2 separate regions of the Mus musculus genome follow, and region 2 is reported to be linked to region 1. Evidence: microRNA targets listed by miRTarBase, many of them from high-throughput screens and not tested one by one. Region 1 holds a microRNA gene; the other region holds the end of a gene's coding sequence.
Evidence for each region. The annotated mature microRNA mmu-miR-499-5p reads UUAAGACUUGCAGUGAUGUUU and lies in region 1 at 1,841-1,861, opposite strand. An mRNA with a match to its seed (bases 2 to 7 or 8) in the 3' UTR can be bound and repressed. Matches are read on the target gene's strand: a 7mer-m8 pairs with bases 2 to 8, a 7mer-A1 pairs with bases 2 to 7 and ends in A, and an 8mer does both.

Region 1 (5,368 bases):
CAGCACAGGTTCAGTTTTAAATGTATGTGCATTGGTCTAAGCACACATGCATCCGGGGGCCGGCTATCCTCACGAACTCAGTCTACCTCCTTTGAGACAGTTAGACTGCACTGGATGGCCTGGAGCCTCAGCTCCTCCCCTGGGATAATGAATGTGCACCACCCTGCCCAGCATTTCATGTGGGTTCTGGGACTCAAACCCAGGTCCTCACGCCTCAAGGCTTGCCCTGTTGTGAGCCATCCGCCAAATCTCAGGACTTTGTTTTGGGTTTTGGGTTAGAAACGTAGGCTGCCCTAGAATTTACTATGTAGCCCAAACTGGCTTCACACACCCTTGATGATCCTCCTGCCCAGGCTCTTTAGTGCTAGGATTATAGGAATGAGACACAATGCCCATGAGTATTGAGAGTTTGAGGTTAGCCTGGGCCACACAGCAATACCCTGCTTTAAAACAACAGACAAAGATAACGCAGACTCAGGCCCTTGGTTGGAGATGGGACTGATAGTGACATAAAAACAAACCTACAAGCTCTCTGTGTACACGTGCGCACATGTACAGCATCTGTATAGATAGCTAAACTATAAAGGGCAGGTGATAGCTCCTTTACTTGTAGAAGGGGAAACAACTAAGGACACGTGTAGTTTAACAAACAGAACCGACCAAGGGAAGTGGGAAAGGAGCCGATGACATTGCTGGCACACCCACTATCTGTCAGGCATCTCTCAAGGTCCACACAAACCCATGTTTAATCCTCAATCTATACCCTCTCTCGTATGCTCACCTGAGTTCTAGAATAATAAATCCAACCCGAAAACCTGCCTTCTCTCCTAAGACATCTGCCAGAGGCATTTCTAACTGCGCATGTTCAAACCCCCTCTGCACCCAGTCTAAACATCCTGCCTTATCGCTCAGTAAATCTACTACCCAGTAGCTCAGGCCTGAGACTTGGGAGTCACCACAGGCTAACCCTTTCTTATCCTGTACCCAAGTAACTGGCAAAGCCAGCAGCCTCCACTTCCACATTTACCTCAAGTCTAGTCACCTCTTTCCTTAACCCAGTTCCAGACTGAGACGCCTCCTCAGGAGACCTGAACTGCTGTATGTCCCTCAGGCTCCAACATGTCTCCCCGACCCCCTCAAGCTCTACCTAATCTAAGAGCAGCGGGAGGAGGCTGAAGCAGTCAGCACCCACCGCTGCCTGAAGTCAGCATACAGCAGTCTGTTGGGGAACCCTTGGCGGCAGATCCGGATTCCCTCCAAGACCCCGTTGCAGCGTAGTTGGTGTAACACCAAGAAGGAATCCATGACCCCTGGATGTGGTGGGAGTGGAAGAGGTGGTTAGAAATGCACGGCCATGCCTTTAGGTCCCTACCCAGGCCTTACTTAGAGACTGAGCAAACCCTCCAAGGTGAGAGCCTAAGATGCCTCCAGTTCCCCCATCCTGGCCAGCCCGGGGACACCACCTGGAGTCTTGTTCTCGTTGGGGACGATACAGCGGACGAAATGGGGCTGTGTGGCCCGCAGGTTGGTCATGAGCTTGTTGAGGTTCTCCTGGGAATGGGGAGAGCAGGGAGAGAGGCACAGGAGGAGCAGGGAGAGGCACAGGAGGGTCAGAGAACCAGAATTGCATGCCGCAGTGGTTAGGGACCAGAGGGGACTGGGCAGAGGAGCCCAAATGCTCCTTATGACACCTGCCCCACCCCAAACACCACCTAAGTCTTCACCGCCCCCCCACCCCCAGGGCTCCGTCCCATGGCTCCCCCTTCCCCCAGCCCTACCCAGGCAGCATGGGGGCAGGCAGCAGCACAGACTTGCTGTGATGTTCACATGCAGAGGAGCTAAACATCACTGCAAGTCTTAACAGCTGCCCACCCAAGACACAGGGACGGCAGGGAGCAAGGAGGGCGTGGCAGCTTGCAGGGGGCGTGGCAGCCTGTAGGGGGCGTGGCAGCCTGTAGGGGGCGTGGCAGTCTTAGGGGGCGGGGCAGCCTGCAGAAAGCCAGGGCCGCTGGGACCCCAGTCTGGACCTCACCTTGTGAAGCTGAGACACGGTCTGAAATGATGCTGCTTTCTTGCGCTTCTCTTTCACCCCAGACTTGGGGGGCTCGGCTAGGAGAGACAATGAGAATTGATCATGCCAGGGAACGTGGCTCTGTGGACCCCCAGGAATGGTCCCTCAGTACTCACTGGAGCAAGAACCTGCATAGTTCTCATAGAGGGTGGCCAAGAGCCTATTCTGTGACTTTTGGAAGATGGGGACCACCGTCTCATTGAGGGGATCCTTGTTTTTCTCCAGCCAGCCCACGATGCTATAAGGAACCTACAAAGAAAAATATTGACCCAGGTGGCGACCCTGAGGAGGGAGAGAGGACAGTGGTTGAGTACAGGGCTCCAGCGAGCACCTACCACGCCTGCGTAGTGGACCACCTCGAAGTGAGCCTGGTACTTGCGTTTCTTGTCTGGGCGAGGCTGCTGGAAATTAGGTGACTTCCCAGAATGATTGTCATAGAGCTTGGCCCTGAAGCTTGCGTCTGAAGCCTTGGGGAACATGCACTCCTCCTCCAGGATGGACAGGATGCCCAGAGGCTGGGAACAGAAAGCAAGATTGAAGGGCCAGGCTAGACCATGCTGGCTGGGACCTTGGACGTTTGTTCTCCAGCCTAACTCCCTCTGGGAGCTGTTTCAGGTCCACAAGCCAGCCGTGTACAGGAGAAGTCAGGCACGTGTGTATACCCAGGAACCCACTTTCTGGGAGAGAAGAGTTTGTGGCTTGACTTCGGATCCCCTTCCCCGCCTATGTGTGTAGAACAGGCTGGCATCTCTGTGCCCTATTAACTAACATCCATGGCTCACTCGGCTTAAGTTTTTTTTTTTTTTTCCTTTAAGACATTTGAATCTGCATTTTGGTATCTACACTCCTTAGAAATAGGGAACCCAATATTTTACTAAATCTATGTTTCTTTTTTAAAATAAGTGTTTGTTTATTTGTATGCATATGTATGTGCCGGCATGAGTTTGTGTGCCCATGGAGGCCAGAGGAAATTGAATACCTTGAAACTCAGGTTACATGCAGCTGTGGCTTGCCTGTTGTGGGTGCTAGGAACTGACCAGACCTTCCTCAAGAGCAGCAAGTGCTCTTAACTCCTACGCCATCTTTCCAGCCCCAAACTTCACTTCTCAACTGAACGGGAATAGTGATTCACTTCAATGCATATTTAATAGCCACATCAATCACAACCACACATTGATAGGCAGCTTATCCAGGCCTGCACGCACGCACGCACAACTTCCGGCAAGGTCCCCACCCTAGGTCTGACCTTCTCGATGAGGTCGATACAAGGCTGCAGGTCAAGGCCGAAGTCGATGAAGACCCAGTCGATGCCCTCCCGCTTGTACTCCTCCTGCTCCAGCACGAACATGTGCTGGTTGAAGAACTGCTGCAGCTTCTCGTTGGTGAAGTTGATGCACAGCTGCTCGAAGCTGTTAAACTATGGGTGGCAGAGCCCCAATCAGCAGGCCCCTGATGGATGCAGACTGGAGGGCGTGGGGAGCACAGCTGTGGTCCCCCACACCCACCCATCAGCCTCTGCCGTGGTTGAGAGCTCTTCTCACCTCAAAAATCTCAAAACCAGCGATGTCCAGGACCCCGATAAAGAACTGTCGAGGGAGCTTTGTGTCCAGGGTCTGATTGATTCGAGAAACCAGCCATCGGAACAACCGGTCGTAGGTAGCCTTGGCCAGGGCCCCCACGGCAAATACCACCTGTGGATACAGGGCGGCAGGGTCGGGTGGGACCCGGCAAGAGAGGGATCCCGCCTCAGCTGTCCCTGAGCGAGCCTTTGGCGCCTTCTCACCTGCTCCACACTCTGGCCCTTGGTAACATACTCATTTCCCACACGAACCCGGGGATGCAGGAGACCTTTGAGGAGGTCCCCGCTGCTGACACCCATCAAGTAGGCAGCCTTGTCCGCACCTGGCAGGGAACATGGCTTGGATAAGGGCAACAACGTGGGCACTTGGGGGTCAGGGGTCTGTTGTCACATCTTGGGGGTTTAAAGAGGAAGGTTAAGAGGAATCGGGGCCTGAAGATTGTCACCTTTAGGAGGGTCTAGAATTCAGACAGGAACAGAGAACACTGAGATGAAAGATTATTGGCAAGGGTCAAGGAGAATGTCTGGGAAAGTTTCCAGGGTAAAGGCCAGGTCAGACTGGGGTTAGAGGTCCTCACTCTCAGTGCCGTCTGCCTCAGCCTGTTCCTCTCTCTGCTTCTGTTTGAACTTCATGTTGCCAAAGTGCAGGAGAGCACCCACGATCTTATAGCAGGCACACTTCTCATCCACACTGAAGCCCAGGATATCCATTGCATGCTGATGTAGAAGGAACCAAGCAGGCTCAGAGAAATATGAGTCCTTGAGAGTCTCGCCGAGGACCACCCCACTCATACTAATTCCCCGGTCTCGACCCAGTGCATATACTCACACACACCCAACCCATGGGAATCCAGCCTGGTGCCCCCTCCCACCCCCACGCCCACCCCGTTTCCCCCACAGAGCATCGTACATCAGTGGCGATAAGTTCCTCGCCGTCATCCATGTTGTCCACAGTGGTGACCCCCTGGCTGCAGAAGTGGTAGTCGTAGGGATTCATGGACAGGAGCAGCATGTCTATGGACAGGGAGGCCCAGGAGGAGTCAGGAGGAAGCCTCAGGCTGCCTTCCCTCTCCTGCCCACCAGGGGGCCCCCGAGGACAGGGGTCTCTCAGAGAGAGTCTTGAGCCTATAAGGGCTTCTCTGTAACCTGAGCTTCTGGTCTCTGTAATCCCTACACAAGGCTTTTAGTTTATTTCATCATTTATTTTTATTTATTCTTTTGAGACAGGTTCTGTGTAGCCCACGCTGGTCGTAATTCACAATCCTCTGATCTCAGCTCCTGAGTCCTGGAATTACAGGCATGACCTGCTGGCTGCTTCTTTTTTACAGTTGTGTGAGTGTGGGAGAGACAGTGTGAGTGAGAGTGTATGAGTGTGTGAGAGTATATGTGCGAGTGTGTGAGAGTATGTGTGTGAGTGTGTAAGGGTATATGTATGAGTGTGCACATGTGTGCGCATGTGTGCTTGTGCATAATTGGGATGGAACTCAGGATTTTGTGCCTCCTGGATAAGTGTTCTCTATCACTGAGTTGTACTTAGCTCTTTTCAAATTTTTATTTTATTTATTAGCATATTTATTTTATTTTGTTTAGACAGGTCTCTCTACATAGCCCTGGCTGGGCTGGGACTATGTAGACCAGGCTAGCTTCACACTGCTTCTGCTTCTTGGGTACATAGACTAAAGTTGCATACCACCAAGCCCCGCCCCTTTTCATTTTTA
Region 2 (5,368 bases), not on the chromosome of region 1:
TGCCCTTCCATCCTCTAGCCATGGTGTTCATCAAACAAAGGGGGAACAATACACAAGTTTTGAATGTGGGGGCTTCCCAGGTGTTCCCCAGGAATCCTCCTGGCTTCAGGAATATAGACAGTGCCCTAGCTTCAGCCTGCCTAGGCAGGGCTTCAGTTCATGAGTCTTATTCCTGGGCAAATGCTTTCCAGACCCTACCTGTGCTGGAGCTGTCCTCTCTCAGAGGCCACCCAAGGCAAAAAGTTATGAGAGATAGACGCTCCTTGTGGGGAAGTTCAGGGTACAGCCTGGGAGGAGGAACCTAGAGAGTAGCAGTACCTTTCTAGTCTCTGGCAGCTCTCACTGGATTTAGGGGTGGCTTGGGGAGTTTCCTCAAGCCTTGCTCTTAGCAAAGCCTGCCTCGCAGGTCAAGGCCCTGGCCACCGGCCTCTGGCTAAACAAGGACCCCCTCCATCTCCGCCCGCCTCTCCAGGACTGCCTCCGTGCCTGCCAGGAACAGATTGAAGCCCTTCTGGAGTCAAGCCTGCGCCAGGCCCAGCAGAACGTCGACCCCAAGGCCACTGAGGAGGAGGGGGAAGTGGAGGAAGAGGCTGGTCTGGCCTGCACGCCCACCGACGTGCGAGATGTGGACATCTGAGGGCCACCGGGCAGGCGGGAGCCACCAAGTAGTGGCACCCGCAAAGAGGAAGGAGCCAGCCCGGGTGCTCCTGACGACGTCCCCCTTGGGGACATGTTGTTACCAGAAGAGGAAGTTTTGTTCTCTTTGTTGGTTGTTTTTCCTTAATCTTTCTCCTTTCTATCTGATTTAAGCAAAAGAGAAAAAAATATCTGAAAGCTGTCTTAAAGAGAGAGAGAGAGAGATAGAATCTGCATCACCCTGAGAGTAGGGAGCCAGGGGGTGCTACAAAAATAGAATTCTGTACCCCAGTAATCAACTAGTTTTCTATTAATGTGCTTGTCTGTTCTAAGAGTAGGATTAACACAGGGGAAGTCTTGAGAAGGAGTTTTGATTCTTTTATATGTTTTTAAAAAAAAGCTTAAGAAACATTGCTTTAAAAAGGAAGGAAAAAAAATACAGCAAACCATTGTTAAAGTAGAAGAGTTTTTAGGTTGAGAAATGTACTCTGCTTTGCTGAAAAGCCACAGCTTAGGCCCTCAGCCTCACTCCCTGGCTTGCTCAGTGCCTACAGCCCTGTTACCTGATACCTGTGCTTTATCCCAGGGGTGGGCAGACCTCTTAACCTTATAGATGGTCAGTGCGACCTCTAGTGGTCTCATGGCGTGTGGCACAACCCCCCTCCCCAGGGCTCAGCTTAATGTGCCCTCTCCCCCCAACAACCTGCAGGTTCACAGCACCAGCCACACAGCGGTAGGGATGAAATAGTGACATAATATATTCTATTTTTGTAACCTTCCTATTTTGTAGCTCTGTTTAGAGAGATGCTGGTTTTTGCCTGAAGGCCCTGCAGCCTGCCCACATCAGGTTAAACCCACAGCTTTTGTGTGTGGTTTGTTTTGTTGTGTTTTCTTTCTCTATGTTCCAAAACCATTCCATTTCAAAGCACTTTTGGTCAGCTAGCTGGAGGCAGTGTTGCTGGTGTGTGTTGGGGGGAGGGGTTCTAATGGAATGGATGGGGATGTCCACACACGCATTCAGATGGCTGTACAACAGGTTGTAGGGCTGGTAGTATGAGGTGCTTGGGAAGTTTTGTTGGGTCAAGAAGAGAGAACTCTGTTCTCGCACCACCGGGATCTGTCCTGCAAAGTTGAAGGGATCCTTTGGTGCCAGCTGGTGTTTGGAAGTAGGAACCATGATGGCATTACCTGGACAAGGAGATTGGGGACAACTCTTAAGTCTCACACAGGAGGCTTTTAAACACTAAAATGTCTAATTTATACTTAAGGCTACAGAAGAGTATTTATGGGAAAGGCTGCCCATGACCAGTGTGACTCAAAGCAATGTGATCTCCCTTGATTCAAACGCACACCTCTGCCCTGCTGGAGAAGGTTTAGGGCCATGTCTGAGAGATTGGTCTTTCATTGGGCAACGGGGGGGGGGGGGGGGTCCTTAAAAAAAAAAAACCACAAAGACAGAGATTTGGTCTGCTTGACTTTCCCAACCCAATTGGCCCCATTGGAGAGCCATCCAAACTGAGGAAAATTAGGGGACTCCAAAAGAGTTTGATTCTGGCACATTCTTGCCGCTGCCCCCAAGTTAACAACAGTAGGTAATTTGCACACCTCTGGCTCTGTGCCTTTCTATTAGGACTTTTTGGCAGAAGGTGGAGAGCGGGAGGCTTAAGAGGGGATGTGAGGGAAGAGGTGAAGGTGGGACCACATGGGACAGGCCACGGCTCCTCTCATGGCGCTGCTACCGATGACTCCCAGGATCCCAGACGTTCAGAACCAGATTCTCATTGCTTTGTATCTTTCACGTTGTTTTCGCTGCTATTGGAGGGTCAGTTTTGTTTTGTTTTGTTTTACAATGTCAGACTGCCATGTTCAAGTTTTAATTTCCTCATAGAGTGTATTTACAGATGCCCTTTTTTGTACTTTTTTTTTTAATTGTGATCTATTTTGGCTTAATGTGATTACCGCTGTATTCCAAAAAAAAAAAAAAAACAGGTTCCTGTTCACAATACCTCATGTATCATCTAGCCATGCACGAGCCTGGCAGGCAGGTGGGCGGTCTGCCTCCAGGGATCCTGGGACCCTGATGGCGATCGTCCTGTCATGCTGGGCCCTTCATTTGATCTGGGACATAGCATCACAGCAGTCAGGGCACCTGGATTGTTCTGTTATCGATATTGTTTCTTGTAGCGGCCTGTTGTGCATGCCACCATGCTGCTGGCCCGGGGGGATTTGCTCTGAGTCTCCGGTGCATCATTTAATCTGTTAGGTTCTAGTGTTCCGTCTTGTTTTGTGTTAATTACAGCATTGTGCTAATGTAAAGACTCTGCCTTTGCGAAGCCAGCTGCAGTGCTGTAGGCCCCCAAGTTCCCTAGCAAGCTGCCAAACCAAAACGGGCACCACCAGCTCAGCTGAGGCATCCCAGCCAGGCAGGACCCTTGAGGGCCGCTGTATCCATGGTGATGGGGTGAGGTTTTGGCCAAAAGGCCAAAGACTGGTGGTGGGTCCACGGAATCTGCCCTGTGACATGAAAGGCTTTGAGGGGCTCTGGCTGGTGGCCAGGTTGGCTTTTTGTATTTCTGGTTGACACACCATGGCGCTTCCCAGCACAGACATGTGACCAGCATGGTCCAGGAAAAAAAAAAAGACAAAAAATCTAGAAAATAAAATTGGTAAAATCTCAGCTCACTGTTGTCTGTGTTTTCTGGGAACAGGAGTGGGGTGATGCCACAGCCATGTGGGGTGGCATCTCTGGCCCTGGCACCAACCTGGGATTCCCAAGGGGAAGGGTGTATGCAAGTGACAGCCAAGAGCAAAGTGGGAGCCTCTGGCGTCAGGGAGGCCAGCGACAGCCACTGATCAGAAGCGGCTCTGGGTCCATCACTGCCAGCTCACCCTCCTGCTTATTTGCAGATGGAAGATCAACAGAACCCGCGTTCACTGCCCCTTGTCTGGCGCAAATGGGTGTTTGCTCTGGGTGAATCACCGTTTCTTAGGTGCTGCCAAGCGCCCAGAGAGCCATGCTTAGTGTTAGGGCCAAGACCCAAGGTGGCCTTTCACATAGTTCTGCAGACCTGAGTGGCCTGGCAAGACTCCTGTGATGTCTTCGGGGTGGCAGTTACTCATGACTAGTATTGTTTCCAAACCCTGTGGGGACAGGTGGCTTTTAGACATCATCTTCTACAAGGTAGCTTTTGGGTCTCAGCTTGGCTGTTTTGGTGCCTGGTGGGCCCCTGCCCTTCTGGAAAGTGGAGGGTGTAGATGACACCTGGTCTGAGTGGTGCCACCCAATGATGAAAGCAGAAAGAGATGGACGGAGAGAAGCCCACAGTGACCTTGCCAGGCGACCTACTCAATGAGAGTATATGGGAACACCAGAGCCAGAGGTGGCTTATGAAGACACAGTACTCATCTTGTACCAAATTGTCTGATGGCAGGATCCAGAAGGTATTTTGTCAGCCCAGCTCCATATAAGCATCCGAGCCGGGTCCACAGTCACATGGCATCCAGGAGAATGGGCATGGGGCCGTCAGCATTCCAGGAAATGGCCAAAGGGCATTGAGGTGGAAGAGTGCTTTCCCCCTTGGTTCTTAGAAGCACTGGGGAGCGAGCTTATCGTGTCCAGGTAGGCTGACATGAGGAAATCCGCTGGGGTGCAGCAGCCAGGCAGCCAGTGCAGCAGAGTGGTACTAGGAATGCAGACACAAATAGCAAGGGGCTGAGCATCCACTCAAAGGCTGCTGCTGCTGCTGCAGCTGCTGCTTTCCACCACTGCCTATCAAAGGTGCTCATGGAAGGGCGCCCAACTGGAATGGGCAAGCATCACCATCAACTGCACAGGGCTCACACATGGTGCAGTCTCTTAACGGTGCAATTGGCTTGTCTCGTCATCCAGTGGTCTGTGATTCCCAGCTGTGGCTGATAGCCAAGCCTCTTTTCTTGGTTTTAGCAGTGAAACCCCAGATACCACTGGCCACTCCAGGCTCCAACCCTCAAGTTTAACTGGTAACACTGGAGGCTAGATCCTCTGCTGGGTGTAGAGATACTCCTGTTCTAAGGGTGATGGTAAAATAGCTTTTTGAGGGCCCTCAGAGATAAGGACTCAGGGAGCCAGCACACCCAACTGTCTCCTCTCAAAAGCTCAATGGCTGGTTCTCTCTCTGCCTCTACCAGCTCCATGGTCCCCTGCCCTGTGTCCTGGCCAGGCTCTCCTTTTGCAGGCGGCCTCCATCCTGCTGAGCCATCCTACCTCTCTCAGCCAAGCCAAGCTCTTGAACCTGCCTGGCCTCTCTGAGCCTCAGCTCCCTGAACTGGAAAGATTGCCCCTGGCTCCCCATTCTGTGTTGCCCCACTGCCTGGACCTGCTCCAGCCTTCCTGTTTGTCCTACAGGACTCACAGTGAATGTGGCCCCTGTGGAGCATGTGGAGCATGACATTGCACAGGTGACTCTGTGTAGCCTCTCCCCTCCTGACTCCACATCCTAGAACCAAGTGTGAGGAAGTTAGCCTGTTGCCCATGGGTCAGCTCAACTGCTGCACTTTGTCCCAGAAAGCAGGCCAACTTCACCAACCCTACAGAGGATCTGGGCTGCTGGGGCCCACAAAATGCCAGCAGTGGGAGCTGAGGACTCCAAGGGGTGGGACACAGGCAGAAGAGTAGGACTGTGTGTTCTCCCTGCAGTGCCCCAAAGCCCTGGCCACAACATCCCAGGAGACAGTCAATGCGGGTTGGGCTGTG

Region 2: miRTarBase lists Ccnd1 as a target of mmu-miR-499-5p. Seed matches in the 3' UTR shown: 7mer-A1 at 838-844.

What each region holds. Positions count from the first base shown.
Region 1 is chr2:155,619,386-155,624,753 of GRCm38, reverse strand. It overlaps Mir499 (microRNA 499), which reads right to left and starts at 1,874; the gene lies at 1,796-1,874. It overlaps Myh7b (myosin, heavy chain 7B, cardiac muscle, beta), which reads right to left. Exons shown (of 42, transcript NM_001085378.2): 12 at 4,561-4,664; 13 at 4,229-4,367; 14 at 3,855-3,973; 15 at 3,613-3,762; 16 at 3,318-3,488; 17 at 2,407-2,586; 18 at 2,188-2,320; 19 at 2,033-2,109; 20 at 1,464-1,551; 21 at 1,193-1,310.
Region 2 is chr7:144,927,876-144,933,243 of GRCm38, reverse strand. It overlaps Ccnd1 (cyclin D1), which reads left to right. Exons shown (of 5, transcript NM_007631.3): 5 at 473-3,313. The coding sequence ends at 637. It also overlaps a transcript of LTO1 not described here. Among named protein-coding and RNA genes, the nearest start is that of Ccnd1, 9.3 kb to the left of the region's middle.